Linked DNA regions of Elephas maximus indicus. The protein of the gene in region 2 purifies or fractionates together with the protein of the main gene of each other region. This does not show direct contact. Links are inferred from orthologs where the notes say so. Each region holds a gene or a part of one and is shown on either strand. Other genes may lie near its edges.

What was found.
Region 1: the proteins of TNFRSF1A (region 2) and BIRC3 purify together in Homo sapiens (affinity purification with western blotting; 4 studies listed by BioGRID, with this or other methods). This does not show direct contact. The link is inferred for Elephas maximus indicus from reciprocal best matches to the Homo sapiens genes TNFRSF1A and BIRC3.
Region 3: the proteins of TNFRSF1A (region 2) and CYLD purify together in Homo sapiens (affinity purification with western blotting; 4 studies listed by BioGRID, with this or other methods). This does not show direct contact. The link is inferred for Elephas maximus indicus from reciprocal best matches to the Homo sapiens genes TNFRSF1A and CYLD.
Region 4: the proteins of TNFRSF1A (region 2) and CHUK purify together in Homo sapiens (affinity purification with western blotting; 3 studies listed by BioGRID, with this or other methods). This does not show direct contact. The link is inferred for Elephas maximus indicus from reciprocal best matches to the Homo sapiens genes TNFRSF1A and CHUK.

The regions. Positions count from the first base shown.
Region 1 is NC_064825.1:18,277,197-18,284,606, reverse strand, and holds the start of BIRC3 (baculoviral IAP repeat-containing protein 3), read left to right. Parts: upstream 1-4,408; 5' UTR 4,409-4,538; intron 4,539-7,410. UniProt on the Homo sapiens protein: Multi-functional protein which regulates not only caspases and apoptosis, but also modulates inflammatory signaling and immunity, mitogenic kinase signaling and cell proliferation, as well as cell invasion and metastasis.
Region 2 is NC_064822.1:63,140,800-63,148,810, reverse strand, and holds the start of TNFRSF1A (tumor necrosis factor receptor superfamily member 1A), read left to right. Parts: upstream 1-4,997; 5' UTR 4,998-5,243; coding exon 5,244-5,282; intron 5,283-8,011.
Region 3 is NC_064839.1:17,266,166-17,273,627, forward strand, and holds the start of CYLD (ubiquitin carboxyl-terminal hydrolase CYLD), read left to right. Parts: upstream 1-4,457; 5' UTR 4,458-4,515; intron 4,516-4,522; exon of another isoform or gene 4,523-4,607; intron 4,608-4,621; exon of another isoform or gene 4,622-5,142; 5' UTR 5,143-5,214; intron 5,215-7,462. UniProt on the Homo sapiens protein: Deubiquitinase that specifically cleaves 'Lys-63'- and linear 'Met-1'-linked polyubiquitin chains and is involved in NF-kappa-B activation and TNF-alpha-induced necroptosis.
Region 4 is NC_064834.1:51,889,283-51,896,816, forward strand, and holds the start of CHUK (inhibitor of nuclear factor kappa-B kinase subunit alpha), read right to left. Parts: upstream 3,005-7,534; 5' UTR 2,939-3,004; coding exon 2,834-2,938; intron 1-2,833. Other genes in the region: CWF19L1 (CWF19-like protein 1), read right to left, coding at 6,486-6,630.

The DNA.
Region 1 (7,410 bases), on a different chromosome or scaffold from region 2:
AGTTAGTAGTGGCCATACGTGTCTACCTTGTCACTTTCCTCAAACTTTCCCTTCCTTCTTTTTTTTTTTAATTGTACTTTAGATGAAGGTTTACAGAACTAGCTTCTCATTAAACAGTTAGTATATATATTGTTTTATGACATTAACAACCCCACGACACCTCAATACTCTCCCTTCTCGAACTTGGGTTCCCTATTACCAGCTTTCCTGTCCTCTCCTGCCTTCTCGTCCTTGCCCCTGGGCTGGTGTGCTCCTTTAGTCTTGCTTTGTTTTATGGGCCTGTCTAATCTTTGGCTGAAGGGTGAGCCTCAGGAGTGACTTCATTACTGAGCTATAAGAGTGTCCGTGGGCCATACTCTCAGGGTGTGAGTTATAATTTTGTTCTACATTTTTCTCCAGCTCTGTCTGGGACCCTCCATTGTAATTCCTGTCAGAGCAGTCCATGGTGGTAACCAAGCACCATCTAGTTGAACTGGACTCAGGCTGGTAGAGGCTGTGGTAGTTGCAATCCATTAGTCCTTTGGACTAATCTTTCCCTCGTGTCTTTAGTTTTCTTCATCCTCCCTTGCTCCTGGAGGGGTGAGACCAGTGGAGCATCTTGGATGGCCACTCACAGGCTTTTAAGATCCCAGACACTACTCACCAAAGTAGGATGTAGAACATTTTCTTTATAAACTATATTATGTCAATTGAGCTAGATGTTCCCTGAGACCATGGACCCACAGCCTTCAGCCCAGTAATTTGATCCCTCAGGGAGTTTGGATGTGTCTATGGGGCTTCCATGACCTTGCCTTGTCCAAGTTGTGCTGGCTTCCCTAGTATTGTGTACTGTTTTACCGCCCTCCAAATTCCTTGCTTATTTCTATCTATAAAACGGTATTTGAAGAGAAAATATATTTAGGTAAGTTAAATGCTAGAAGGAAAAGGAATTTTTATATGAAATATTTGGTTTATACAAAGGAATCGAGGGAAAATGTACAGTATGTTACACTATTAAAAATTTGGATGCAGGTTTAGAATAGGGAGGGCCCAAGAGGAAAGACAGGCTCCATTGAGTACCCTATAGACAGGCACCCTACTAGCACTAGACTAATGTGGTAAACAAAATATACACAGTCCATGTCCAGACAGTACTCAGAATTTATCCAAGAAAACAATTATTTAAAATCAGTAATTACAGTTGTGCAAAATGTTGCAAAGAACACATGTTGATCTGTTCCACCCCCAACAGATCTGATCCCAGCTATCATTAACAGTTTGAAGAATTTGGGAATCCTAGTCAGTTTATCAGGGAGCCCTTATGGCGTAATGGTTAAAGAGCTCAGCTGCTAAACGAAAGGTTGGCAGTTTGAATCCACTAAACGGTAGGAGAAAAGACCTGTCATTCAGCTTCCGTAAAGATTACAGTCTACAAAACCTTATGGGGTGGTTCTACTCTTGGTCGCTATGTGTCAGAATCGACTCGTCAGCACACAACAGTCAGTTTGGGGATTGCTTAGGCTGTGGTCTTTAAATTAGGTTGACTGTATCCTTGGGCACTTACAAAGATTTTCCAGTGCATAAGTGGGAGCTCAGATAGTTTTAAGGGAATTGACAGACTGATCCTCAATTTCCATATGTAGTTTTTACTAAAAGCGACTTTTCTGGAAACAAGAACTGTCCAGGTTGCCAAGCTTGTTCTCTCTTCTCACCTCTCCTTTCACAGTAGAGCTTCTTTCTTTTTACAAAAGACAGGTTTACCTGTCACCCATTCTGAGTCTTAAAATGGTATTTTGCCTCTGGGTGTAAAAACCTCTTGGACTACTGGAAATACTGGTGTTGGTATTGAGAAAATGAATGACTCTAATATTTGGGTATACGGTTGCCAGATACACAGTACACCAGTTAAATTTTAATTTCAGATAATCAATGAAAAATCTCTAGTGTAACTACATTGCAATTATTGCATGAAACACACATATTAAAATGTTGTTGTTTATCTCAAATTTAAATTTAACTGGGTGTTCTGTATTTAAATTTGCTAAATCCGACAACCTTGTCTAGCTAACAAACGTTCAATGGTTTCCAAGTCACCAATTTCAACAAAACTGAGTTGTCCACTGATAACTAACCATAATTTTTGACAAATGATCACTAAGTGATTTTTGGAAGATAAAACAGATGTTCAAAGAATTGTGAAAAAATGCTATAACATTTCTTCCAGGCCTACCTACTTATTTATGTGAAAAAGGTTTTCAGCAATTATAATCTGTAGAAATGTATAAAGAACAGAATCTAGGCTGGATTCTGTCATATTCTAGCAATAGGTAATATTCATCAATACACACTTGAACAAATTGCTTAAAATGTAAGCTGCAACCCACCCATTAAAATCGAATTTGTGATAAAGTTTTACTTATTTTTAACAATTACCAAATTTGTAATATATTTATATTGCTTTAAACAATTGTGTACTAAAAGTACTAAAAATATCAGTGATGATGCAAAATAAATTTTTTAAGTACTTATGATGAAAGGGAAGAATTAAACTTCAATTTATATAGATATTTGTTTCAGAGATAAGTGACAGTGTGATTATAAAAGATGCCCACCATAAACATATATTAAAATTCTGGGGGAAAAGTGAAATATTCAAAAAACTGTGATAAAAAAAATTTTTTTTGTGATAGAATATTTCTAATTTTTAAAGAAGAGCTGATTTATTACCTTTTAATGGATGACAGTTGGTGCCAAATGGTTGTGGTATTTAGAATCCATGAAATACATTTAAAGGAGTTCCTGAGTGGTGTAAACGGTTAACATGTTCAGCCACTAACTGACAGGTCAGCAGTTTGAGTCCACACAGAAGCACCTGGCGATCTACTTCCCAAAAATAAGCCATTGAAAACCCTATGGATTAGTGAAATAACAGATTGGCACACAAAATGAAGGATATTATCTGTGAGTATGGTGCTTCAATAAAAAAAAAAACATCTATATAAAACCAGAAAGTCAACAATTACTCTAAAGCAAAGATGAGACAATAAGGGGGCAGGGAAACTAGAATATTGGTAACAGTACAACCAGACTGCAAGTAAAGAGGATGATGACACATTGTGAAAAATATAACTAATGTCACTGAACAACTTGTGTAGAAATTGGTAAATGGGAACCTAATTTGCTGTGTACACTTTCAGCAAAAACACCATAAAATATTATTTTAAAAAAGAAAGGAAAGAAAACCCTACGGAATACAGTTCTACTCTGACAAACATGAGGTGTCCCTGAGTCGGAATCTACTTCATGGCATCTGGTAGTTAAATACATTTAAAAAGGTGCTGTTTCAATTTTATTCTAAAATGTGTTTACATTTTGCAGATCCTTTGCAACTATGACAATATATTAAAAAAAGGTGTTAAGTTAAAAATGTGTGAGGGAATATAGAGTTTTTAAAAATTCTTTTGCTGAGTATATGATTAAAAATGTGTGAAGACCACAAAATGTTTTAGATAATGTTAAGGGTGAATTGAAAATGCTTTAAAAAGTCTTGAACTACGTAGGCTCAAAAGTAGGTTGAAATTTCCACGATAGATAAACAGTCTTTCAGATATAATTCCAACTCGAACTCTAGCTGCTCTGAGCAGTTTCCTAATCCAGAAGGTACCTCAGTCCAGCTGGATTCTGTACTGAGCGGACTGTGAGCCCTTCTGATTTCCGAGGATGATGAAGTCCTGAATAACGTATGTGGGTTGTACCTTTGGCTCATAACTGTCTTTGGTCTACAGGGCCTATTGGATCTACAGACTCTCCCAGAAGCCAGAGAAACCAGACGAGCAATCCCTCTGTTCCCTGACATAGCTAAATATACTGCTTAGACAGGCGAAGTTGATGCAACGGTGGCAGTGCAGTTAGACTCCCAGACTTCTGGGTTTACACGAAAATGTCACTGAAATTAAGAGACTTCTTTTGTGAAACAAAAAGGCTAAAAGGAGGATTTCTGAAAAATAGCCAAGTCTGCCCTGGGACAGAACTTTCTGGGACAGAACAAAAGTAAAAATAATCATAAAGATTTCACAAAGTTTCAGTTTTCTTTTAAATACTGGAAAACCTAACGCTTTTTACATGTAAAGTGTTTGGGGCTTGAAGGGGTAGCGGTGAGGACTGACCTTTTCCAGTTAGGCTGACCAATGATCATCTCTACTCCGCTTATCAGGGTTTCCTCTGACCCAAGAGCAATGAAGCAAAGGTTTTTTCAGTAAATGCCACGCGGATGTGCCACTAGTTAAGAAACAGTGACGCTTTTAGGGCCATGGAAATCCCCGACCGGGTTTGCCAGGCTACTGATTAAGGGAACTATATGTGGTTATTACCGCCGGAGTTCCCCTAAGTCCTAAGAGGAAAGCACCAGTTTACATGCAAACCAGTGAGGAGGAGGGACAAAAGTCGGGGTATTTAAAAGAGCGCAAGGCTCCAACCCGCGCGGAACCGCCCCGGCGGCAGGTGTCACCGAAGCAGACTAGCAACGTCGGTGCTGGAGCGCGTCCACCTCGGGAGAGCAGGTTGGTGGCGACGCGACCCGGGCGGCCGTGAGTGTGCGCGCGTGTGAGCACGCGTGCAGGCCCCACTCCCACCCGGCGCGGGTAGGACCCAGAGACCGAAGCCGCGGCGCCAGGGGAGGGCGGGTTGCGCGGCGCCCGGCCGGGCCTGCTGCTCCCCCGGGGGCTGCAGGCAGCTGCAGAGGGCGAAGGTCAGTGGGGTGGCATGCTCATCAAACACTGCCCAGGCCCGAGAGGCCGGCCCCAGATCAGCTCCCGAACCCAGAAGGGCTTTCAGATAACAGAGCTTTCAGAGCGGGTCCCCGCCAGCCCGGGAGCCTCTTCCTGGGCGTGCCCCGCGCGCTCTTCCGGCCGGTCCCATCCGCAGACGCCGCGACTCTGCGCTTTCCGCCTCGGGGAGGCGCCCGGCTGCAGGGTCCCGGGGCCGGTGCGAGCTGGTCCCTGCGCTGCCCTAGCCGAATCGTACCCCCGATCCGCTTACCTCTCGGGAGCTCAGTGCCAGCTCTACTTTTGGGGTGAGCCAGTGGAATGGTGAAGCTTTGGCATTTGGCTTAATTCGATTATCAAGAGGTATCACCGGGTCTTTGAGGTGACAAATAAGCTTCGGGACAGAGCCTCAAGCAGATCTTTGGCACGGGAAGGACTCAATCAAATATTCAATGAACAAATAGAGGAATGTTTCCCAAGTGGTCGCAGAAAGACCAGGGGGGTTTTTTTTGGCGGGTTTCCTGGTTATCAGCATGGAAACCCAGCAGCGCTCTTAGATCTGTTAAATTGCCGAAGGTATTTAACTGATGTTTTTTTTTAAGTAACTAACAATAACATTACCTTTGTTAGCTAAAATTTATTGCTAACGTTAAGTGTTGCTAACAGTACTATAGGAGCCCTGGTGGTGCAGTGGTTAAGAGCTCGGCTGCTAACCAAAAGGTGGGCAGTTGAAATCCACCAGCCTCTCCTTGGAAACCCTATGGGGGAGCTCTGCTCTGTCCTATAGGGTTGCTGTGAGTTGGAAGCGACTCCACGGTACCTAACAACGACAGTATTACGCGCTAGGGCAAGTTCCGGAAACTTTTATGAGTATTTTTTGCGTTTAGTTCGCACGGACTTAGGAGCAGGTACCACGGTTATCTCCAAGTGACAGTAAGGAAACAAGGCTTATATAGGTTTACCTGTTTAAAGCTCTACCCTTAGTAAGGGGGCACAGAATGGCATTGGAAACCCAAGATGTCTGACTCCAAAGCCTGATGTTAAACCAGACTCAACAAATTTTGTGGTCATTAATGTAACATTGAAGTCCTTAATACCCTGCAAATGAGGGTACTGTAGTCATACAGGGCTCAATCAAGTTTGCTTACATTCACTTCAACAAACAGTCTTTAATAGCTACATACATTATAGGCCAGGCCCTGTGGATGCTGGGGGGCAGTAGAGATATAACATACTTCCTGCTCTGAAAGCTCTCACAGCCTAGGAGGAGGCAGAAAAAAAAAGGCACATTTACTCTCCAGTGTCAGAGATATAGATATTCTGTGAGAGCGATGGATATGCCGAGTGCCCACGAGGGTGAGGATGCCCAACAACCCACCACAAATATTAGAGTAAGAAGAGAAGAAGCTGGAGACCTGAGTCAATTTGAGGAAAAAAAAAAAAAATCTGTTGCAGTGGAGTCAATTTTGACTCATAGTGACTGTACTAGAAAGGAAAGAGGAATTCTAATAGTGGAAGAATTCAGAGAAGCCAAGGGAGGAGAGCATTTCAAAGAGGGTGTGAGTCCCAGTGTCAGATGCGAAAATTTCCATTGCTTTTGGCAGAGAAACGGTGGGAATCATTAGTACAGAGAGCAGTTTCAAGTGGTGCTGACTAAAGCCAGTTGTAGTGGTTTAAGGAGTAAATGGGAGGGGAAAAAGTGGAGATATTAACAATAATCAGTAGAAGTTTGCTTGGCTATGAAGGGAAGGTAAAAAAAAGAGTAGTGGCTAGAGTGTAAAGTGGGATTGAAAGAGGATTTTGTTAGTTTTCATTTTAAGCTGAGACAGACTTAAGCATGATTGTTATGTTGAAGGAAAAGATTCATGTTGAAGGAAAAGATTCAGTAGATACATTAAAAAAATGAGGGGCGATAGGGTTAGGAGTAAGACTTCTGAGGCAGTGGGATAGGATGGGATCCCCAAAAGGGGCAAGTGCCTTTAACTGAGACAGCAAGTAGGTTGTGAGCAAGAAAGTCACGGATATGGGAACATGAGAGGATTACTGCGCAATGACGTCTATTTTCTGTGAGAAATAGGAGGCAAAAGCAATTGACTGAAAGTGAGATGGGGAGTAGTGGGAAGTTTGAGAAAGGTGTGGGAGGTTTAGAAGCGTTGCATAGAGCCACGGGCTAGGGAGCTGACGAGGGCTGAGAAGAACTGCTAAGGGGTCCTGAAGGGCCAGCCAAGGTGGAGTCTGAAGTGGCACTGGCTCCAATCTGCAGGGCCGAGGGTCTTCTCCGGCAGCATTCGGAAGCCTGCATGTTAGAAATGGTTAAGACAGAAGGTTGAATTGATCCAGGATTGGTATTTGGCATATTTTTATATAGTTATCATATATTTATTGCCTAACTTTCTATAAATATGTTTAATTTGCATTCCAAAGCTTCTTTAGGGTAACATCTGTGTAGGGGGTTTGCGAACTCAAATGCATTCAGAGGCCAGGCAGGTGATAAAAATAAGCAGACAAAAGCACACTTTGTTTATATTTTTAACCATTCTTCATTTCAACAAAGAAATGTGATTCTCATTTTTTTCCCCAAAACATCCTTCTCTTGGTCCTCTGTTCATTTTTACTACTCCTCCTAGACTTTTCGTTTTCCTCTTAATTCTACTTAAAGAAAAACAAT
Region 2 (8,011 bases):
TCTCTATCTCCCCATCAATTTCCAGGTACTGGTGGAGGAGGGTGAGACTTAGCCCAATTTCTTCTGGAACCTCAAAACCTGTATATATTCTTGTTCTCATGTCATTACAGAGGGAGGAGCAGAGGGAATCCTCCCAGCTTTATTAACAGGAGAAATTGAGGTTCAGGGAGAGGCTAAGAGATGTCTGTATGGGAACTCTGGTTTTCTGACCCCCAATTCCCCACCCCGACACCAGCATTAGTCCTGGGACCCAGAAGTCACCATTCCTTATTATCTTTGGGGACACCTCCCCTGCTGTCTTGATCATATTCCCCTTAATTACAGTTTCTCTGCCCTGAGGAGCCAAAGGAGAGAGTGCATCTTTGGGGAGGGGAGAAGGGAGTAGGGAGGTAGACAGGGTCATGACCAGGAACTGATGTGACAACTTCTGACTTCCCTTTCCCAGATTCAAGCTGATGAGGGGAGATATGGTAGCGTCACAACAGTCTCTTCTGCTAGAGCCCTCAGGGTCAGCCTGCCTTCCACTGCTGTCTGCCACAGCCTTTCAGCCTTGCCCCACCCCTACCCCCGCCCTCTTCCCAGCTCCCCATCCTTTGCTGGGATGGACAGAACCTGCTGGATAATGCTGGATCTCTTATGGCCTGCAAACAGCTACCATTTCTCCTCCCCTGATGCTTGCGTTTCTCCTTACCTACCTTCATTTCCACCCTGAGATGTTCTCTTATCTCCGTCCCTCATCTACGGGCTACCCTTGGACCCTAGGGTTAAGAGTTAGAATCCCAGCATTAGACAAGAAAGGGTTTAAGTTGGCCCAGTTCAACTGCCTCATTTTCCATCTGGGGCTTAATAGGTGAAGTAACTCACCAAAGTTTTTATAGATGATTCTTACAAAGCCTGGAAACCAGGTCTCCTCCTATGACCCATCCTGCATTCCTGTCATAGAATCGGAATGGCAAGGTTGAGGCTAGAACCCACATGACCTGGACTTGGAAATGCCCTTTTGATCACTAGGTGTTGCTGTGAGTGAAGTGTGTATGTGTGTGATATGGGGAAGATGAGGTGGGGGAGGTTCTCTGCTATCTGAAGTTTTCTCTTCATCCCTTTGTTGTTGTTATTGTTGTGTGCCATAATTACCCCTCCACAAACCTTAACAGTCAATTCTGTCATCCTCTGTTCCTTTCCTATTTCTCTCTCTCTCCTTCACCATTATTTCTTCTTCCCTAGAGGAAGTAGGGTCTTTCATTTTTACCTCCTCCATGAAACCAGTTAGGTTTTCATATTCCTAGTTCCACCCACCTCTCACCATCTTTTTTTTTTTTAAAACAGAAGTGCAATAACATTTCTCCTAAACAATGAAAGAAATTCTCTATTTGTGCCAGGCTATGTGTAATGGCCTTGCCAGTTTGCACAATTAAAAATCCTTTGTGATATTAAAAAAGGACACTGATGTTATTAATTATTATTACAAAGTATTAATATTGTTATCATTTATCGAATGCTTACTACATGGCCAACACTGCTAAACACTTTATATTCATTTAATCATGAAACCAGCTCTGCAAGGGGTACTGGCATGATTCTCATTTTTTAGATGAGGATCCTGAGGCTCTCCTCTCTTCTTCACATTGGAAACTGGGCAATCTGACTCTAGCACTTTATTCTAATGACCCTGTTTCTTCAAGAGCTCTGCTTCCGGTCCACTCAAACTGTACTGTGGTCCTCCCTGTGTGTTGGTGGAAAGGTGAGCTCTTTCCCCTGTGAGTCCAGCTTCAACCCTCAAGTCTTCAAAAGCAGGAGGGTGGGGTGAAGTGAAGATGGCTCCCCCCAGTGGTAGGGAGCACCCAAGCTCCATTGTCAAGTAGATCCCTGGGATCACAGAGGGGAGGAAAGGGAGAGCCAGGGAAAGCGGACGCGGGTAGGTGGTCAGCTGGTAGATCAAAGGGTGAAGAGGCTAGGAGCTCTGATTCCAAGTCACAAAGCCCTAGGACCTCAGTCCTCTCTGGTCTCCCTTCATGTCTGGCAGCTTCAACAGCTGGAGAACCTTTGGCCTGGGCTGGGCATTGTTTGATGGCAGTGGGTTTGGTTTGGTTGGTTTGGGCATTGTTGTTGTTATTGTGTGCCGTTGAGTCAATTCTGACTCATAGCGACCTATATGACAGAGTAGAATTGCCCTATAGGGTTTCCTAGGCTGTAATCTTTATGGAAGTAGACTGCCTCATCTTTTTCCAGAAGATCGATGACCGGCTGGTGGGTTTGAAAAACTGACCTTTCGATTACCAGCCCAGCGCTTAACCATTGCACCACCAAGACTTGCTTAACCATTGCATCACCAGGGGCACACCAGCCCAGGGACAAGGACTAGAAGGCAGGAGGGGACAGGAAAGTTGGTAATAGGGAACCCAAGGTCAAGAGGGAGAGTGTTGACATGTCATGAGGTTGGTAACCAATGTCACAAAACGATATGTGTACTAACGTTTAATGAGAAGCTAGTTTTTTCTGTAAACATTCATGTAAAGTACAATAAAAAAAAAAAAAAAGAATCTAATGCCCTTTTGGTCTTTGAACCCTGTGAGGTAGATACGATTAGCTCCCTTTTAGAGAATTAAGTAGCTAGCCCAAAGTCATATAGCTAACAAATACTGGAATTAGTATTGGAAATGAGTTATCTGATTCAAGAGTCCTTTTTAAAGTAATACTACAAAACTTAATTTCAGAGTAACTTAAAAGGTTGTCATGGATTGAATTGTGTCCCCCAAAAATATATGTATCAATTTAGCTAGGTCATGATTCCCAGTAGTGTATGATTGTCCACCATTTTGTCATCTGATGTGATTTTCCTGTGTGTTGTAAATCCTCTCTCTATGATGTTAACGAGAAGGGATTAATGGCAGTTATGTTAATAAGGCAGGACTGAGTCTACAAAGTTAGACTGTGTCTTAAGCCAATCTCTTTGGAGATGTAAAAGAGAGAAGCAGGCAGAGTTACAGGGGGACCTCATTCCACCAAGAAGCAAGAGCCAGGAGAATAGTGTGTCTTTTGGACCCGGGGTCCCTGTGGTGAGAAGCTCCTTGACCCGGGAAGATTGATAACAAGGACCTTCCTCCAAAGCCGACAGAAAAGAAAACCTTCCCCTGGAGCTGATCCCCTGAATTTGGACTTCTAGCCTACTGGGCTGGGAGAGAATGAACTTCTGTTCATTGAAGCCAAAAAAACAAAACCCGAATCTGTTGCCATCAAGTCAATTTTGACTCATAGTGACACCATGTGACAGAGTAAAACTGCCCCATAGGCTTTTCTTGGCTGTAATCTTTACAGGAGCAGATCACCAGGCCTTTCTTCTGCAGCACCACTGGGTAGGTTCAAATTGCCAACCTTTAGATTAGCAGATGAGTGCAAACTGTTTGTGCTACCCAAGGACCTTATAAAGATATCTGTAATTTCCAAAGCTTTTTCTTGGATGTGGTCTTGTTACTGGAATAAGATTCTTGCCTCTCACTGGTCAAGAATGAGCAGGTAAGGCACGTAAAGTTTTCCACAGGAGCAAAGCTTTATTAAAGAGGCTTGCAAGCGGAGATGAGGAGGGCCTAGAGCAACACTTACGCCTGCCTGTCTCACAGAACAAAAGACTGGCCTGGGTTTTTAAAAATTCTTGGGGTGCGGGAGATTCATGTTTATTCATAGGCACAGGCGGGGATATGTTAACTATGCAAGCAACAGCTTTCTAAGGTGTCTAAGATGGCTCCTGTCCCAAAGGCCTCTGGGATTCATAGCAGGACTTACTATGGGGTGTTGCGGGATTCGTAGCAGGACTTACTATGGGGTGTCCCGGGATTCGTACCACGACTTACTATGGGGTGTCGCGCTGCACCTGTGCAGTCTCTCGCTCCCTGGGTTCGATTCCTAAGCTGCTGCTGCAGCCCTCACTGCTCTTGGTGGAAGGTCACACAGCAGTCACAGGTGGATGTTCTGCGCATGTCACATGTCGTTGGGGCTGGTTTTCTCCAGCTGCTTCTGAAAAATAGCTTTAAAGAAGTTTACAGGCTATTTTCTGATACCCTGCCCCATTTTTCTGGGGAATGGCTTTGTTTCAGTGCCCTAGCCCATTTTCCGTTACTCTGTTTGCAGTTTTAGTCTCATTAATCCTCAGATAGGCCAGCCATTGTTACCCCATTTAATAAATGAGGAGGAGATGAGGCTCAGTGGAGGTCCTGCCTGAGGTCACACTTTTGGCTGGTGGCAGAGCCAGGACCAGCAGTTGGGGACCTGGCCAGAATGGGGGCGTCAGGGCCCCAGGCAGACCATAAACCTAGAGGTAGGACTTACTCTGAGGTTTGTGTTGGAGGGGTTAATTCCTGAGCAAGTGGGAAGGTGTCAGGGGGAATTCTGGGTAAAAGGGGAGGGTTCCTAAGGAACTCTGAGCACTTACCAAGTGTCAGGTACTTTTTTTGTCCTTTCTTAATAAATCCTTACAGCGACCCTATGAGAGAGGTTATCTCCATTTTACTAGTTGGGAAACAGGCTCAGAGAGGTTAGGTTATGTTCCAAGACCACAGAGCTAAAAAGTGACCAATCTGGAAGAATATAAACAATATCACTGAGTTGTACATGTAAAAATTGTTGAAATAGTGTATCTTTGGCTTTGTATACTTTCACCAAAATAAAAATATTAAAAAAAAAAAAGTTTAAACTATAGTTATGTAGCTATGGGGGCGGGGGGAAGTGGAGAATTCTGTACTGGAACCCATTGAATTTGACTCCAAAGCCCGGGTCTTTCCGTTGCTGTTCCATTTAGGGAAGGCCAGCTGGGGGTGGGGAGGGAGGGAGCTTACTGCACCTTGGTGACCAGCTGGGAGTGTAAAACTGGCGGGCTGGGGGCACAAGGCGACTGGATCTGGAACTCCAAGCTCTCTGACTGGACTACAAACGGTTAAGAACCTTTAACCCCCCCCTCCCCCGCCTCCTCCCTTGGCTCTTCCTGTCCCGCGGATGTTGCAACACAGCCACACTCCCGTCCCCTCCCACCTCTTCTCTCCTTTCTAGTTTTCTCGGAGCTCTTCCGACTCAGGCCTTCGGAGTCCGAGGTCCCTGGACGAGGACGGGATCTCTACTCGCGCCTCAACTTTCGAAGTCCCGCGCCCCAAGGCCTAGGCTCCACCAGGGAACTCGGGACCCCGCGGACCCCAGGAGACCGCCGCCACTGCCCTGAGCCCTGATGGGGGAGTGAGAGGCCACCCTGGCCGGACATGGGCCTCCCCACCGTCCCTGGCCTGCTGCCGCCATTGGTGAGACCAGGGATCCAGAATGGAGTGGGCTGGGGCGGGGCAGAAGGGGGCGAGATCCCGGCTGGCCCCAGCCTCGGGCCTGCTCAACCCAAACACGGTTCACGTTTCCCCATTCTTATGCCAGTGCAGAGAGGGAGCCGACAAGGCCGATTATTTGAGGGAAATGGAGAAGTTTGAAAGGGAAAGAGTAAAAGGGAGCCCTGGCCCCTGATAGCCAAGGAAGTTTGGTGGGGCCAGGGGGCGTCCGGGAATGTGCGGCAGGTGATAGGCCAAGGATGCAGTAGATTTGGCGGGGGAAGGACAGAGTGGGAGAAGGAAGACCCGTCCTCTCAGTCCAGAAGATTCAGGATTCTGTCCCTCTGGTCAGTTGGCAAGGAGCCCTGGTGTCGCAGTGGTTAAAGCGCTCGACTGCGAACCGAAAGGTTGGCGGTTTGAATACAACAGCCTCTTAGCGGGAGGGCAGTCAGCTTCCTAAAGATTTACAGCCTTGGAAACCCTGTGGGGCAGTTCTACTCTATCTTACAGGGTCGCTGTTAGTAGAAATCCACCGGAACGCAATGGGTTAGGTTTTTGGTTTGGTTAGCTGGCTAGCCGGGCCTGTGTTAGGCTATGGCGAGGGAGGCTGCCTATGGAACCTGGTTGAGCAAACCCTGTTAGAGGGCTGGAGTTGGATGGCTAGTGAAGCCGGGAAGCTGAGTCCAGGAGAGGGTGAATTGTGGGGTAGGTTTGGGAGGCTACATAGTGGGGGAGTCTTTGGGAGTCGAGTGGGAAACTGTAAGGGGGAAGGACATCTAAGTAGAGAGCGCCCCAGTGCCCTCCCAGGCCTCCCACTTGGGGCATTTGTGGCCCTTCTGCCTGTGGCTCAGCTCCCAGGCAGGGTAGCCTCTGTTGGAATAACACCTCCACCTCCCCACAAGTAACTAGTACCACCTCCACCCAGTATCCCTGCCCCTGTCCTCCCAGCCCCCTCCCTGTAGAACTAAACAACAATCCTTTGGTTTCTCCTTTTTCAGCTCAGTTTGCGGAAGTTGGTAGAAAGTTGTTTTCGTCACTGGTCACTGGAAAATGTCCCTTTCTCTTCCCTCCACCTTGTTTCAGTGTATCCTTGATCTTCGCTCCTTGTCCTTGACTCATCTTTTCCAAATGCCCTGAGCCCCCAGATTCCCCATCTAGTTGGATAGATTATCCCTGCCTGTGCTGACCAGGTCTTCTCTTTCTCCTGGGCCCCTGCCCTTCCCTGGCCCACCTCTTGCTCCCACCATCTCCCCTGTCGTTGGCATCTTATACTCTCTCTCCCAATCATTCCTCCCTTTTCTATCACTCTCCCCTTCTCAGAGTCTCCTTTTTGAGACCTTTTTTTCTCTTATTCTTTCTTGCTGCCCCACTTCTCTGCTCTAGTGCCATGTTTCTAGACCCTGGGTACCCCAAGCACCTCTCTCTATCATGGTCTCACTGTTCTTCTCATTCGCTCACCTCCTGTCTCCCTACTCCCATCTTCTCTTCCTTTCTTTCATGGGTGTCCTGCCTCCATGATCTTCCCCCAGTTTACAGCCCTGACATCTTCTGTTCTCTCTTTGGGGTGGATCACCTGGGTTTGAATCCTGGCTGTACCATGTAATAGCTGAGCAAGTTACTTAACCTCTTAGTTTGTTTGTCTGTAAAATGGACATAATAGTCATTACCTCACAACGTTGTTTTCAAGATTAAATGGAATAATGTATGTTAAGTACTCATTGATTTATTAAGTGCCTGGGTGGTACAAGCGCTTAATGTGCTGGGCTGCCAACTGGAGGTTTGAGTTCACCCAGAGGCACTTCAGAAGGAAGGCCTGGTGATTTACTTCTGAAAAACCAGCCATTGAAAACCTTATGAAGGACAGTTCTACTCCGATACATGTGGGGCTTCCATGAGTTGGAATTGACAACTGGTTGTTGTCAGTCTTCATTAGGCACTGTTTTAGGCGCTGGGGTTACAGCAGTGAACAGAATTTCTGCCCTCATGGAGTTTAGTAGAGGACTGTTGTTTTTGTAGCTGCCATCTAGTTGATTGCTGTGAGTTGGGGTGCTGGCTGCAGATGAGGTACATTGGCTGGAAATCAAACCCAGGTCTTCCACATGGAAGGTGAGAATTCTACCGCTGGACCACCAAAGTCCACTAAACCAGAAAACCAAACCCATTACCACTGAGTCAATTCTGACTCATAGTGACCCCACAGGACAGAGTAATCTGCCCCACAGGATTTCCAAGGCTGCCACATCTTTCTCCCGTAGAGTAGCTGGTAGGTTTTAACCGGTCACCTTTTGGTTAGCAGCCGAGCTCTTTAACCACTGTCACCAGGGCTTCCAGCGCCCACTAAGACCAAATGAAACCTGTTGCTGTCGAGTTGATTCCAACTCATATCGACCCTAATGCCCACTAAAAAAAAAAATGCCCACTAGGGTGTAGAAAATAGAAAGCACTCAATAAACTTTAGCTCTTCTTTTTTTTTTAACGTTAGCTTTTATATTATTAGTATTATTGGTAATTACTCAGTGAACATCTGTGTCTGGAAAACAGAGGGTAAAGTTAGACTGAACAGATAAAGGAAAGTGCCTGGGGGCTGAGGCTGATCCAGCCCAGGCCAGGGTAGGACTGTTACTGGAAAGGAGCCCAGCTTGGAGCTGGAAGGGGTGGGGAACGAAGGGAGGTATGTAAGGCCGCTTTAGGCTGGCTATGAGCTTTGCAATGTC
Region 3 (7,462 bases), on a different chromosome or scaffold from region 2:
TGCTCCCTGCAAGTGAGGATAGTGAGTCTTTGTCTCGTGTACTTCGGACATGTTATCAGGAGGGACCATTCCCTGGAGAAGGACATCATGTTTGGTAGAGTAAAGGGCCAGCTAAAAAGATGGATTGACACAGTGGCTGCAGCAACGGGCTCAAGCATAGCATTGATTGTGAGGTTGGCACAGGACTGGGCAGTGGTTTGTTGTATTTTACGTAGGGTTGCTATGAGTCGGAACTGACTTGACGGTACCTAACAGCAACAACCTTGTCCTGAACAACATTGTTCATGAAATCAACGTTTATATATATATAATTTATTTTTCATTGTGCTTTAGATGAAGGTTTACAGAGCAAATTAGTTTCTCATTGAACAATTAATACAGATATTGTTTTGTGACATTGGTTGCCAACCCTGCAATGTGTCAACACTCCCCCCTTCTTGACCTTGGGTTCCCCATTTCCATTGGTCCAGTTTTCCTGTCTCCTCCTGCCTTCTTATCCTTGCCCCCGGGCTAGTGTGCCCATTTAGTCTTGTGTACATGGTTGAGTTACGTGAACACTTAGATGTATTAATTAGACTTTTCTCATGGTTGCAAGTGACAGAAATGGACTCTGGCTTCCTCAAGCATAAAAGGAGTTCACTGGAAGGATTTTGGGAGGTCCACAGAAGTGATGGGAAAGGCTGAAGAGCCAGGTGGGAAAATGGCAGGAACCACAGAGACTGGATGAGCAACTGGAGCTACCTACCAAATGGCAGGAGGACGGTACAGGAGCTCACTTTTGGCTTTGTTGAGTGGAGGTGTTGAGTAGGCAGTAGGATATAAAGTAAACGCTGAACTTGGTGAGGCTGTAAGTATGAGGTGGAAGCCTCTGGTAGCCATTTGGGAAGTGTGGGGCAGGATCTAATCAACAATCATGACTAGTGCTACTGAGAAGGTTTTATTGAGTCATAAGTGTTACTCTATATAAGGTAGTAGGGCCCTACCAGGCAACCAGGAGTTTACCACCTCCTGGGAGAGAGAGCTTCACACAATTCAATAGCTTATCATGGGGTTCCTGCTGTGTACAATAAAAGAACTATGCAAGACCGTTCAGAATCACAGTTAACTACCCTGTTTAAGAAAGCAGTGATCGTTTAGTGGTAGAATTCTCACCTTCCATGCAGGAGACCCAGGTTTGATTCCTGTCTGATACACCTCATGTGCAGCCACCAGCCGTCTGTGAGTGAAGGCTTGCATGTTACTATGATCCTGAACAGGTTTCACTGGAGCTTCTAGACTAGACAGACTAGGAAGAAAGACCTAGTGATCTACTTCAGAAAATCAGCCAATGAAAAATGTGTGGATCCCAACGGTCTGAGGTACAACTGGCCATGCCGGACACAGTATGTTGTATACAGGTCACCACGAGTTAGGTCTGACTTGATGGCAGCTAACAACAGCCCTGCTTAAAACACATCCAGGGGTTCTCCTTGATCTGGGGCTCTTGCCCTGGTTCACAAGGCTCTGTGTGAATGGCCCTTCTGCGCCCACACTTTCTGCACTCCGCCTCTTTCAGTTCTTTTAAACGTCACTCTCTTTCCTGTTCCTGCTGCCTGGAGCATTCCCCCTCACCCCTAACTTCCTGTCATCTCTCCCACCTCTTCTTAAAGGTGACTTCCTCAAACAGGCCTTCCCTGAATGCCCAACCACCCTTTACAAGTGCTCAGAGCAGTTTTCCTCCTGAGGCTTGCCATAACCATAATTAAGTACATGATCGTGTAATACGTTGTTGAAGATTTGCCTTCCTGACCAGAGGGCAGGGATAGCATCTCTCTTATACACTGCTGTGGCTCCCAGTACCTGCTCAGTAACTCACCCACAGGCCACGTGAACCCAGGGCTAGGCTGGTTAGAACAGGCTATGGGGTGCCGGATAGACAGAGGTGAACTCTGGAGGCTGGATCCATCTGCAGAGACACCTGGAAGAGGCCGGCCTTTGGCTGGGAGCCTTAAATGAAGGAAGGATTTGGAAGGCAGAGAGTATGGGCCTTTCAGATGGAGAATCCACCGAAATAGAGGTGGAAAAAGCCCTGGCTTGGATTCAGAAGAATCAAGGTCTCAGCTCATTTCCTGGGGACCTGGGCGCAAATGATTTTCTCCCTCTTGACTTTAGTCTCTTATCTATAGAATGAGAGGCTGGCTTATCGAGGACTGTAAATCATAGTACCAAGACACTATTCTGCCATCTCATCCCCGGCAGACAATCTCTCTCTCCCATAAGCCTGAATAAGGATTCAGGATTGCTTTTAACACAGTGTTCTAGGCAAGCATTCCCAATTGATAGGAGCTGGTGATCTGCTTCTGAAAGGTCACAGGCATCGAAAACCCTACGGAGCACAGTTCTGCTACTCCGACACCCTGTTTATCAGGTCTGGCTTGGGTGAAGATCTCGATGAAGTCAGGCTCTCTCACTGGCTCAGTGAACAAGTGACAAGAATGAGCATAGTAGCCAACCATTGCTGTTGGGGAAGAAAGCCCTCTGGAGCACAGGGCTCAGCAACATCAAACATCATCATCAGAAAGGACACAAAGATGCTCCAGTCCAGGGATGGCAAACTCAAATACCTTTAGGGGCCAGCAGATAATGTAAGGCAAGAAGTGGGCCAGACTGATGAATTAGGGAATGGTGGGGAGTGTGGCAAGCTGGAGAAAATGAGAGCACTGGCCCTGGGTAACCAAAACCAAATCAAACCTATTGCTGTCAAATTGATCCTAACTCATGGCAACCTCACGTGTTACAGAGTAGAACGGAGCTCCATAGCGTTTTCTTGGTGTAATCTTTACAGAAGTAGATTGCCAGGCCTTTCTTTTGCAGCACCTCTGGGTGGTTTTGAACCTCTAATCTTTCAGTTAGTAGCCTTGCACAAACTGTTTGCACCACTCAGTAACCTGTCTAAAAGCACTCGAAATTTCTTTTTCCCACTCCTCTTGCCCCCTTCCCTCCTCTCCCTCACTGCATGGGTCAAGAAAAATAGTCTTCAGGCTAAATTTCGCTTCTGGCCAGATTGTGACCTCTGAGTTCTACCTGTTGTTTTTGGAAGTCTAGATCTAGAGGGAACAGTGCTGCCTCGGGCTACACTGTAAGCCAGGCCTGTGGGTTCCCATTTCCTGCTTTCTACTGCAGTGTGGTCATGAAGACTGGGAAACAGGGTAAGGATGGACTGAAGAGGCCAGAAGTGGATCCGAGGATTACGTTTTCAAAAAAAAGATGCTCATTTCATTCTAGGTGATGATGGCAAGGGAGAGGAGTGGCCTGCTTACTACTGCTGTTAGTAATTGTTCATGTGACTTCTTTCATGTACTCATAGGTTTAAATTCCCCCAACCTACAGAAGCGTGTCACTTTCCACTGGGGAAAATCATGTCATGATTACATATACACACGCACACTCACACGCACGGCACCTCCTCCTCCTTCCTCAGTATTAATCATCTTCTCCCGTAATTGGCGTTAAAATGTCAAAGGAGAAGGAATTAATTAACCGTAAAGTGCAGCAAGGCACACCGCAGCACCCTGGGATGGATTATAAAAAGCACTTCGTTAAATATTTTGAGCACTTTTGGGAACCAGAAACCTCTCTTCTAATTCAAAGATTCTTAACTATACCCAAAGTCCTGGCTGGTGGCCAGGGGTGCAGGGCTGAGTGAGGAAGCATACAGAAGTTCCGTCTTCACCACTTTACAGAGACTTCCCCTAGAGCGGGCTAGGTGCTAATAGAGGTTCAGAAGCATCAGAGGTCCCATGCCGAATATGAAGCTTTAACATTTACTGAGCTCCTGCTGCGTGTCAGGAACTCTACAGACGGTATTTCACAACAATCCTATGAAACAAAAGTTACTGTTATCTCCATTTTATAGATGAAATTGGGGCTCAGCAAGGTCATCAGTTTCCCCAAGTCACACGGCTAATAATTGAAAGCGCAGAAGATTCAAACTGAGGTCTGATCCTAAAGCTTTGCTCTTTCATGGAATCCTGGAATCCTATTTCCAGCTCTCTTCTGGAGTGCTCCCCACCCGGACCCAAACTCCCAGCGGTTATAGGAGTTTTGACAGCTTAGCCAAAAGCCTATACCTGAGTATGGGAGGTGGAGCGAGGAAAAGCACGGTGCCCCGCCCCGACTCCAGTATCAGCCAATGGTGGCGCGGCACTCACTGCCTTTAGTCCAATCAGACAGAGCTCCCCGCCCCCATCTCCCTCATCTCCTCCCCTCCCCTCAGCTTTCCCTTTGGCTCGACCGAGCTTGGCGGAGCGGAAAGTCCCTTCAGCCCGCGCCCGGCCGGCAGCCATTGGGGGAAGGTCTGTCACAAGGCAGGCCAATCAGGGCATGCGCAGGGGCGCATCACAGGCCACGATTGGTTAACGGGACGGTTGCCCCTCCGCCTCCGCGCCCTCCCTTCACCCTGGGCGGCTCGGAGGCGGGGCAGGTGGGGGCGGGCCCAGGTAGCAGGTTCGGCTGCGCGGGGGCTGCGCGTCGGAGGTAAATACTAGGGCGGTGGGTGTCGGGTTCCCGGGCCGGCCCGGGATGTGGGCTAGGGAGGCCGGAGAAGGGGCGACGCCCCGCTGCCCGAGGTGAGCGAGGGAGCGGGCGGCCGAGCCGGCGAGCAGCGGCGGCCGGATCCCCTCGGTGCTCCTCCCCAGGCTCCGGGCGTCTCGAGCCGCGGCGGGGGCCGTCCGGCCCTCTGCGCCGACCTGTTACTTGCCCCGGCCCCGAGTCGGCCGGGCCCGCGGGGTGCTGAGCCCGCTGACGTCAGCCCGGACTCCCCCCCCAGCCCGGGGCTCCCCGCTCCGGGCCTTCCCGGGAGGCCTCCTGGGTCATGGCAGCGTGGTGGCCGCCGCTGGACCTCCCGAGAGGAGAGGACTCGGAGGTGGAAGGGGCGCGGAACGCAGTCTCTGGCTTCGACCCCATTTAGAGATGGGGAAACTGAGGCACCGGCCGCTGGCTGGGTCCCCACTGCTATAGTTGGCATCAAGAGCCCCGGGCTGTAATAACTCACGTCTGTGCCGTGGGGCTTATCAATCGGCTTTGGGGTGTTCGCGGCTTCTTTCTAGGAAGAGCGGTTGGGGTTTTGGCCTCGTTAATGGCGTGTTCTGCTTTTTCTTTCAGTTTCGGGGTGAGGATGGTTTTATACAACTGCCCGGAGTTCTTTAGTTGAAAGGTGCGCTGTGTTGAGACAAGGTATTCCTTTTTTTTCCCCCCCGTCTTTTTTTTTTTTTTTCTTTATTATCATATTAACAGTCTGTGGGGACATCGTGAAATTTTGAAGGAAGCTGTTGATTTCGAGTTTGGTGCTCAGCGGGGTCAGCTGCCAGGTTATTCGCGTACTTGGAGTCTTTTCTAGTCAACCCCTTGACATACCCGTGTTTTAGGATGGTTGTCACCGTCCAGCCGGCAAGCCTGTGGCCTTTCCGTCTCCCACCCCCAGATTCCCTGCCCCCATCCTCTCCCCAGCCTTCCCTACCTTGGTTTTGAATGTGGACTAATGAGGAAACTTAAGACGGTTGTTCATTTTCCAATCATTGACTCCCAGAGAAAAAGCCAGGCCTTGAGAGAGGGTGTTTGTTTATTCAGGGGTTGGTTTTCTGCCCCCACCCCCCCAGTCATCTTCATGGCCCTAAGAATTTCACCTGCTAGTCCCCACTGAGTGGTGGGTGGATTTGAACTAGAACAGTATTAAAAAAACAGGAGAAAAGAATTTGCTGGAAATTCTTGTTGGAATTCATGCACTATGCATGTTGGTAACACCCAGAACATTCTTTAATGTTCTGCAGCAAAATTTGGGAGTGATCTTGCATAGAAGCTGCCTTCCTTTGGGTGGTAATTTGTGTGAAGAGCTGATAAGGCCAAGGCACTTGTTATTGAAAACAACAGACGTGAGGCAGCAATGATTTCTGTGGTTTGGCATGCCCAAAATTCTGGTTTTGATTTAAGAAAAGCTTTAACACAAAAAGAGAATGGGATGATTGTCCTACTCATCAAGCTATTAGTATTTTGTTCCTAATTGTCACCCTGTGTTCTTAAATTTGTTGGGAGCTTTTACATTGGTGATGCAGAATTTATAGGCATCATACACGGTTTCAAAGGAACCACACAACAGCTTGTTTTCATCATTGTGGAATTTTCCTTATTTGTTTCTTTTTTTTGTATAAATAAAGTGGTATAAAAATTGACCAGGACTTTATTTATTCAGAGACTTAGTGACATTTTAGGCAAAAAACCCTAGATGCTCCCAACTCCCTCTTTTTTTTTTTTTTTAAGCTGGCAGAAGCTTTTAATCACATAAACAATTAGGATGAGGATATGGGATTTGGGCTCTCACTGGTACCACTTGAGTTTTGCCAAGTCATTCATTTAGTTCTCATGAACTACCATATATGTCAAGTCACTGAACACTGGAATAGAAGGATAAAGGACTTGGGGGAACTCAGAGTTTGGGAGTATGGTGGCTGGGGCCCACTGTAGTGGGATAGTGTTGTTCACGGTTTCTCTAACATGAATATACAAACACAGGAGCCAAATCTTTTTGTGTTTGTTTTGTTTTACATTATAAATCCCAGTTGTTTTCACGCGCAGAATACTTAAGGAACTGTATCCTGGCTTACTTGGGTCACAAGGACATTAAAACTGACTAAATCTCTTTTGGTCATAGCCTCTCTATGCCTGTTCTTTAGCTGTTTAGGAGTACAACTTGTTCTTTTAGTGAGAGATATTCTTTCTGAAAATGGTCATCATTCTAGCTGTCTAGAAGAGTTTGGAAAAAGGCCCGTGTGTCTTTCTTTGATAGTCACACTGACCTTTCTGCTACTTTGCTGTTTATAATTAGGGGCAGTATTTTAGTGTGGTCATTTTTATTCTAGCCTTCTGTGGTTTTGAGAACAAGTCAGGTTATCTCAGGAGATGTAAAGAGTTCTTTAGTAAGGTATAACCTGTTAACAAGAATCCAGGTAACATTTTCTAGATCAGTTAAATAATTGTGACTTACTTAGCTAATGCTGTTTGTTTGTACAATCTGTTGTCTTTCGAACTTGGTAATTCTGATGTTTAATATTTTCTTATAAAACTTGTTTCTCGACTGCCTTCTTTCCACTTCATTGATGGGAAACTGACAAATATATGCACCTTCCAATTTAATTATTTAATTTTAATACAGCCAAATTCCCCTTTACTCAGAATCCAGACCAACAACCAGCTCAGATAGCCAGGTATATTTTCAAATCCATGTGATCCCGACCTGTTCCCTCATCTGGAGTGTTGCCAATATGGTGTTAGGGTTCAGTGCATTATTGTATTTCAGCTGTTTGGCATTCTTCATTCAGTACTTACAGGAATTATCAGGATACTCTCAGTCACTCAAATTTTCCAACCTGCAGTTAGTAGTGTGGTATTTAGATGAGTCATTTGTGAAATACTTATACTCAGCATGAAG
Region 4 (7,534 bases), on a different chromosome or scaffold from region 2:
GCAATACCGAAGGATTCTACAGGAAAAAAATATTAAACAATGCAGCATCAAAAGAAGATGGAAGGAAGCTCACTCATCTATGCCAAGAAATTTGGAAGACAGCTACCTGGCCAACTGACTGGAAGAGATCCATATTTGTGCCCATTCCAAAGAAAGGTGATCCAACAGAACACAGAAGTTATAGAACAATATCATTAATATTACATGCAAGTAAAATTTTGCTGACGATAATTAAAAAACGGTTGCAACAGTACATTGACAGGGAACTGCCAGGATTAAAGCTGCACTGAGAAGAGGACATGAAACAATATTACTGCTGATGTCAGATGGATTTTGGCTGAAAGCAGAGAATACCAGAAAGATGTTTACCTGTGTTTCATTGACTATGCAAAGGCATTCCATTGTGCAGATCATAACAAATTATGAATAACACTGCGAAGAATGGTAATTCTAGAACACTTAATTGTGCTCATGTGGAACCTGTATGTAGACCAAGAGGCAGTTATTCAAACAGAACAAGGCAATACTTCATAGTTTAAAAGTCAGGAAAAGTGTGCAACAGGGTTGCATCCTTTCACTATATTCAACCTGTATGCTGAGTAAATAATCCGAGAAGCTGGACTGTATGAAGAAGAATGGGGCATTAGAAGTGTAGACTCATCAGCAACCTCTGATATGCAGATGACACAACCTTGTTTGCTGGAAGTGAAAAAGACTTGAAGCATTTATTGATGAAGATCAAAAACTACAATCCTCAGTATGGACTGCACCTCAATATAAAGAAAACAAAAATCTTCACACATGGACCAATAAGCAACATGATGATAAACAGGGAAAACATTAACAATGTCAAGGATTTCATTTTACTTGGAATTATAATCAACGTCCATGGAAGCAGCAGTCAAGAAATCAAAAGACACATTGTATTGGGCAAATTGGCTGCAAAAGATCTCTTTAAAGTGTTTAAAAGCAAAATGCCACTTTTAGGACTAAGTTATGCCTGACCCAAGCCATGTATTTTCAATCACCTCATATGCATGCAAAAGCTGGACAATGAATACGGAAAATTGAAGAAGAACTGACGCCTATGAACAATGGTGCTGATGAAGAATACGGAGTATACCACGGATTGCCAGAGGAACCTAACAAGTCTGTCTTTGAAGAAATAAAGCCAGAGTGCTCCTTCGAAGCAAGGATAGCACGACTTTGTCTCAGGTACTTTGGACATGTTATCAGGAGGGTCCAGTCCCTGAAGAAGGACATTATGCTTGGTAAAGTACAGGATCAGCAAAAAAGAGGAGGCTTTCAATGAGGTGGATTGAGACAGTGGCTGAAACAATGGGTTCAAGAATAACAATTGTGAGGGTGGCACAGGACTGGGCAGTGTTTCATTCTGTTGTACACAGGGTCGCTATGAGTCAGAACGACTCAACAGCACCTAACAACAGAAACCTGCTTTGCAAAATTTCTTCAGTTCTACCAGTAACATTTGACATTTTAACTGCCCCACAAACATGACTATTCCCTCTTAGACAGGCTCCCATCTCTCTTCACTCCCACCTCACAATATGGGCTACCCACAGCCATGTTCATTAAACAGCAAATCAGGATTTCTTCATTTGATTTCACTTCTTCATTCACAGACCAACTGCTGGCATTTTAGTAATAGCTTAAGTGCCAATCTTGCCCATAAGTTTTCAACTCAAATTCATCTTTCACAAAATAATCTTCCTAGAACACCACTTTTATCTTAACATTTCCTTTTTTAAGCCCAAAGACTGATGATGAGGATGATAACAGCAAAAAGAACACATGTTGGCAGCTAACATCTGAAGGTTTACCATGGGCCAGGCATTGTAGTTTTACATACATTATCTTATTTAACTCTCAAGTGGATCCATGAAGTATATACATTATTACACCCATTTTATAGATGGCAAAACTAAGGCTATACTGCAGGGATTATTATTTCAGGTTCTGTACACCTATAAGGTCTGTAAATGTGTGTCAGGAGACTGTGAACCCCCTCAAATGGCTAGGCCTAAGGTTGTGTGGATGTGCATTTTTGGAAGAAAAGATTCATGGCTTTATTTGAATCTCAGAAGATGCATGACTTGAACATGATTATTAACTGCTGCCACAATGGTTAAACATTCTCAATTAAATCATAATAAAATTCCTGAGTCTGATGTTAGCTGCCCCCCACCTACAATCTTATCTCCTTCCCTGTGAAGCCACTGATCGTTTTCACCAGCTCGTCCTCACACTATTTCCTACCTGAAATGCATCCTCACCTCCAAAGCCAACCCATGCTTTCGAAGGCCTAACTCCAGACCCTCCATGACGCCTTCCTTGTCTACTCCGGTCCCTACAGATATCACACTCACAGGCCTCCAGTCACAAACACGAACACGCACATTCCAACAGACAGCCCCCCTGTAGCCCCATTTTCTCACCCATTCCTGCTCACACGTACACGTTCTGACATTCATCTGCCTCACACACCCTAACATTGTACACTCACAAAGAGACACATAAAGGCACTGTCACACTCACTAAACAGCTTGTCACACCTTGCCACTCATACCAAAAGTTCCCCCTAATAGTTCTATCTCACACGCTGGCCCAGGACCAGTATCACACGTTCCTACGGATATAACCTCAGATTCAGTCACCCAAGTTCACAAGTACAATATCACACACACACACATACCCACTGGCCCACAAACACTGCCTCCAATTCTCACTGACAATCTCTCACACACTGACAGTCCCTAATATTCCACAGACGCTTTGACAAACAGTCACCGCTCCCTCGCGCGTCCGGGCTCACCCGATGCTGATACAGGCAGACGTTCCCGAAGCCGCCGGTGCCCAGCCGTTCCCGCATCTCCCAGGGCCCGCCCGCGCCCGGCCGCAGGCCCGGGGGCCCCTCCATGGGGCGGGAGGGGAAGCTGCCTTATACACCGCCGCTGTTCCAAGGCCGGTTCCGGGACGCCGAGGCTCGCGCGCCTTTCTTCTCGCGAGATATGTGTCATTTCCGGTAACTGCCCGAGGAAAAGCCCCGCCCACGTTGTCCAGCGCTCTCTAAAACGCCGCGGGCGAAAGGGTTGGGAGGCGTGGAGGGTGTTCGTCGTCTGCTTTGGAAGTTTCATGGGTCTGTTACTGGCTGAGAGAGCCCACGTGTTTTTTTCCTAATATTGAAAAATATAAGATCTCTCCAGATCTTACATTCCGTTCAAATCACTTTCTAATCTGTCCTGTATTCGTTTTTTTTTTTTTTTTTTCAAATTTAAGATTGTCTGCATCTCTGTATACACTTCCTTCCCCACACCCCAGCCGTGTATACTCCAACCCTGTCACCCGCTGAACTGGCACTGGCAAAGGCCACTGATGATTTAAATGTTAGGGAATCTCAAGAACTAGGAAGACTTCTGCGCTAAGAGGGTCACTGGTTTGCTCCTTAAACGTCCCCATTCTGGAGTCCTAATATGTGGCATAAATAGTATACAAAACACAACTAACAATGCACAAATACCAGAAGAGAAACTAGATAACTGGGAGCTCCTAAAAATCAAACACACTTGTCAAAAGATGTCACCAAAGGGGGGGGGAACTACAGTTAGAGGGAAAAAAATGTGGCTACGACATATCCAATAAGGATCTAATCTCTAAAATCTGTAAGATGCTGCAACATGTGAACAACCAAAACACAGATAATCCAATTTAAAAATGGGCAAAGGATATGAACAGACACTTCACCAAAGACGACATTCAGGCAACTAACAGACACATGAGGAAATGCTGGTGATCATTAGCCAAGAGAAATGCAAATCAAAACTACAATGAGATACCATCTCACCCCAACAAGACTGGCAGTAATCCAAAAAACACAAAATAATAAATGCTGGAGAGGTTGTGTAGAGGTTGATACACTTATGCACTGCTGGAAATGTAAAATGGTACGATCACTTTGGAAAACAATTTGGTGCTTCCTTGAAATAGAAATACCGTACAATCCAGCAACCCCACACCTAGGAATATATCCTAGAGAAATAAGCACCCTCACACAAATAGACACATGCACACCATGTTCATTCCAGCATTATTCACAATAGCAAAATGATGGAAACAACCTAGGTGCCCATCATCAGATGAATGGATAAACAAATTATGGTACATACCCACAATGGAATACTACACAACGATAAAGAACAATGATGAATCCTCTAAACATCTCGCAACATGGACAAATCTGGAGGGCATTATGTTGAGTGAAATTAGTCAGTCACAAAAGGTCAAATATTGTATGAGACCACTATTATAAGAACTCAAGCTTTAAACGAAGTAGAAAGCATTCTTTGATGGTTACAAGGGTGGAGAGGGAGGAGAAGGGGAATTCACTTACTAGATAGTAGACCAGAATAAGTTCAGTGAAGGGAAAGTCAGCACAACTGGACCAAAGCAAAAGCTAAGAAATTTCCTGGACATATCGAAACACCTCGAGGGACAGACTAGCTGGGGCTGGAGCCTGGGGACCATAGTTCTGGGGGACATCTAGGTAAACTGGCATAACAAAGTTTATTAAGAAAATGTTCTGCATCCCACTTTGGTGAGTGGTGTCTGGGGTCTTAAAAGCTTGGAAACGATGATCTAAGATGCATCAATTGGTCCCATCCTACTGGGTACTTGGAGCAAAGGAGAATGAAGCCAGAGACGCGAGGAAAACATTAGCCCAAGAGACTAAAGGACCACATAAACCAGAGTCTTCACCAGCCTGAGACCACCAATGACTGCCCTAACCAGGAACACAAGAGAGTCCTGGATGGAGTGGGAGAAAAGTGTTGAGCAAAATTCAAATTCCCATAAAAAGACCAGATTTAATGGTCCGACAGAGACTGGAGGAAGCCCTAAAATTATGGCCCCCAGACATTGTTAACCCAGGACTGAAACCATTGCCAAAGCCCACCTTTCAAAGATTAGACAGGAATATAAAAGAAAAAATAATACAAGTGAAGAGTAATTCAATGAGATACACGAGACCAAATGGGCAGCTTCTGTCCAGAGGCAGGATGAGAAGGCAGAAAAGGACAGGAACTGGTTGAATGGACCCAGGGAACCTAGGGTAGAAAGGGGAAGTGTACTGTCACATTGTGGGGATTGCAAGTAATGTCACAAAACAATATGTGTATACGTTTTTGTACGAGAAATTAACTTGAGCTATAAGTTTCCACAATTAAAAAAAAAAAAAGTACTCATTCTTAGGGATACGGCATAGCTCATTTTTTTAAATCCCAGGCTGGTAGGCCCCAGACTCCACAATCAAGTTTGTGAGTCTCAGCTTCATCAGGTGTAAAATGGAAGTGGTGATACCCACCTCGTAGAGATTTTGTAAGGACTAAGTGAAATCCAGTGTCTGGGCCATAAACCTGTTGCCATTCAGCCTATTCCGACTCATGGCGACCCTATAGGACAGAGTAGAACTGCCCCCATAGTGTTTCAACTGCCACATATTTCTCCTCTGGGCCACACATGCCCAATATATAGGAGGAATTTTTTTGACAGTCTCCTGAGATCTCTCTCTTTGCTTCTTCTCCATGTACTTGTTGGATCACTCCAAGTACTCCTTAAATAGTAATACTTCTCAGGTAGTCATCCTCAGCTTAGAGCTTTAACTCTTATTTTCATCCATCCTTTTTATTTAATGTACTGCCTATATCCTGATGATACCCAAATCCCTATCACCAACCTAAATCTCCATGAGTTTAGAACTCTCCAGCAGCACCCAGGATGCATCCGTTACAAATCTTTGGCATCTAAAACTCAACATATCCAAAGCAGAAATCATCTTTTTTTCTTAAATCTGTCCCTTCTCTTCCCAATTAGACTGTAAACTATGGGACAACAGGGACCATGTTAGGACATAACTATACTCCCAGAGCCTAGAAAAGTGCCTAGCACATAGGAGTTAAATATTTGCTGAAGGACTGAATGAGCTTTTATGCATCAGTAAGATGACTGCTATAAAAGAAAAGTGGCAAAGGCCTTGGGTCCCTTCTCAAAACTAGGTTGCTCAGGGAGAAGCCACCCTGGGTGATTCTGGGATGAAACACTGGGCCTAAAACCCTGGCCCCTCCTATTACATGCACTACATCATTTCAAGGATCACAGGTAACATGAACACAAGACACTTCTCAACCATAGAAAAGCCTTTGGATTTTATTTGATAGTCTACATGTTTTTTAAAATGTTGATAAACACAAGCTGGTACTTGGAGCTGGATGACAGACATGCTTTTAACATAGGACTTTCATCCTAGAATGTGACTTCTTCCAAAAATTATTCAGTCCTAGACCTTTTGCTGTGGGCAGGTTCCACGGGAATACATGAAAGAGAGGCAGGGAAACAGTCCTCATAGGAAACTGCAGTTTCTTTAAAAACAGGTGGATGAACCTGTGAAGTTCGTAAAGTGTCTTTCCCTTTAGTTAGTCATCCAGAGTGAAGTCAAAGGGCTCAAAGTCTTTCCGGAAGCGGCGGGCTAGGGTCTCTTCCTCTTCTCTGCTGATCTGACACTGCCTCCAATCGGACTTGTCAGGAATATTAAGAATGGCTTCACTGGCCAGGACCTCCCTGCAGAAAGGACACAAAGAAGTCAAAATGGACAGTATCAGCCCCAAAATCCCTCCTCCCTCTGTTCTTCACCAGCCAGAGAGCTCTCCTCAGCATCACCCAAAGAAGGTATGCAAATTTCTCTGACTTTGCTCATACCATTCTCCTGCTCTGAGCGCCACTGCTGCCATCTGTCTACTAAAATCATACCCATTTTAAGTGACCAGCTCAGGTCCTACCTCTTTCCTAATAGCTTGTACCCCATTAACTTCTTTTCTTGAACAAACTTGGAACTATGGAATTGGTACTTAGAGAAGCAATATGGCACAGTAGAAAGAAGGCAGGCCCTGGAGTCAGACCGCAGATAAATTCCATTCCTAGCTTAGCCACATGCTGTCTATGACTTGAACAAATGACTTTCAGCTGTGAGTCTTGATTTCCTCATCCACGAAATGAGAACACCTACTACCACCTACCTTACAAGGCTTTGCGAAATGGGGAGCTAACACAGAGCACCACAATAGTTGTACTTACATCCTGCCTTAAACTCTAGTTTTGACATCCCAACTAGATCAGGAGTTTGCCAAGGGCCTGGTGCAGTCAGACACTCAAGTGTCATACCCACTCTGACTTGAAATTCCTCTGCCTCTCCTTCTAAGGATTCAGGTCTAGACAGGCACAGCAGCATAAATTCACTCTCAACAAAACAACTTATCTTGGCCCTCAGGACTAAAAAATAACCACACACAGACACACATATAAAATGTCACTACGTACAAACTTTCTTCTAATTGCCATTGCTTTTTTATCTTTATTTTTACTTATTTTTGATATATTAGAAATAACTGTTTGCATATCATATGGTCCATATTCCACTTTGAAGCTATGATAAATAGAAGGGTTGAATTCAAATCACACAAATCCT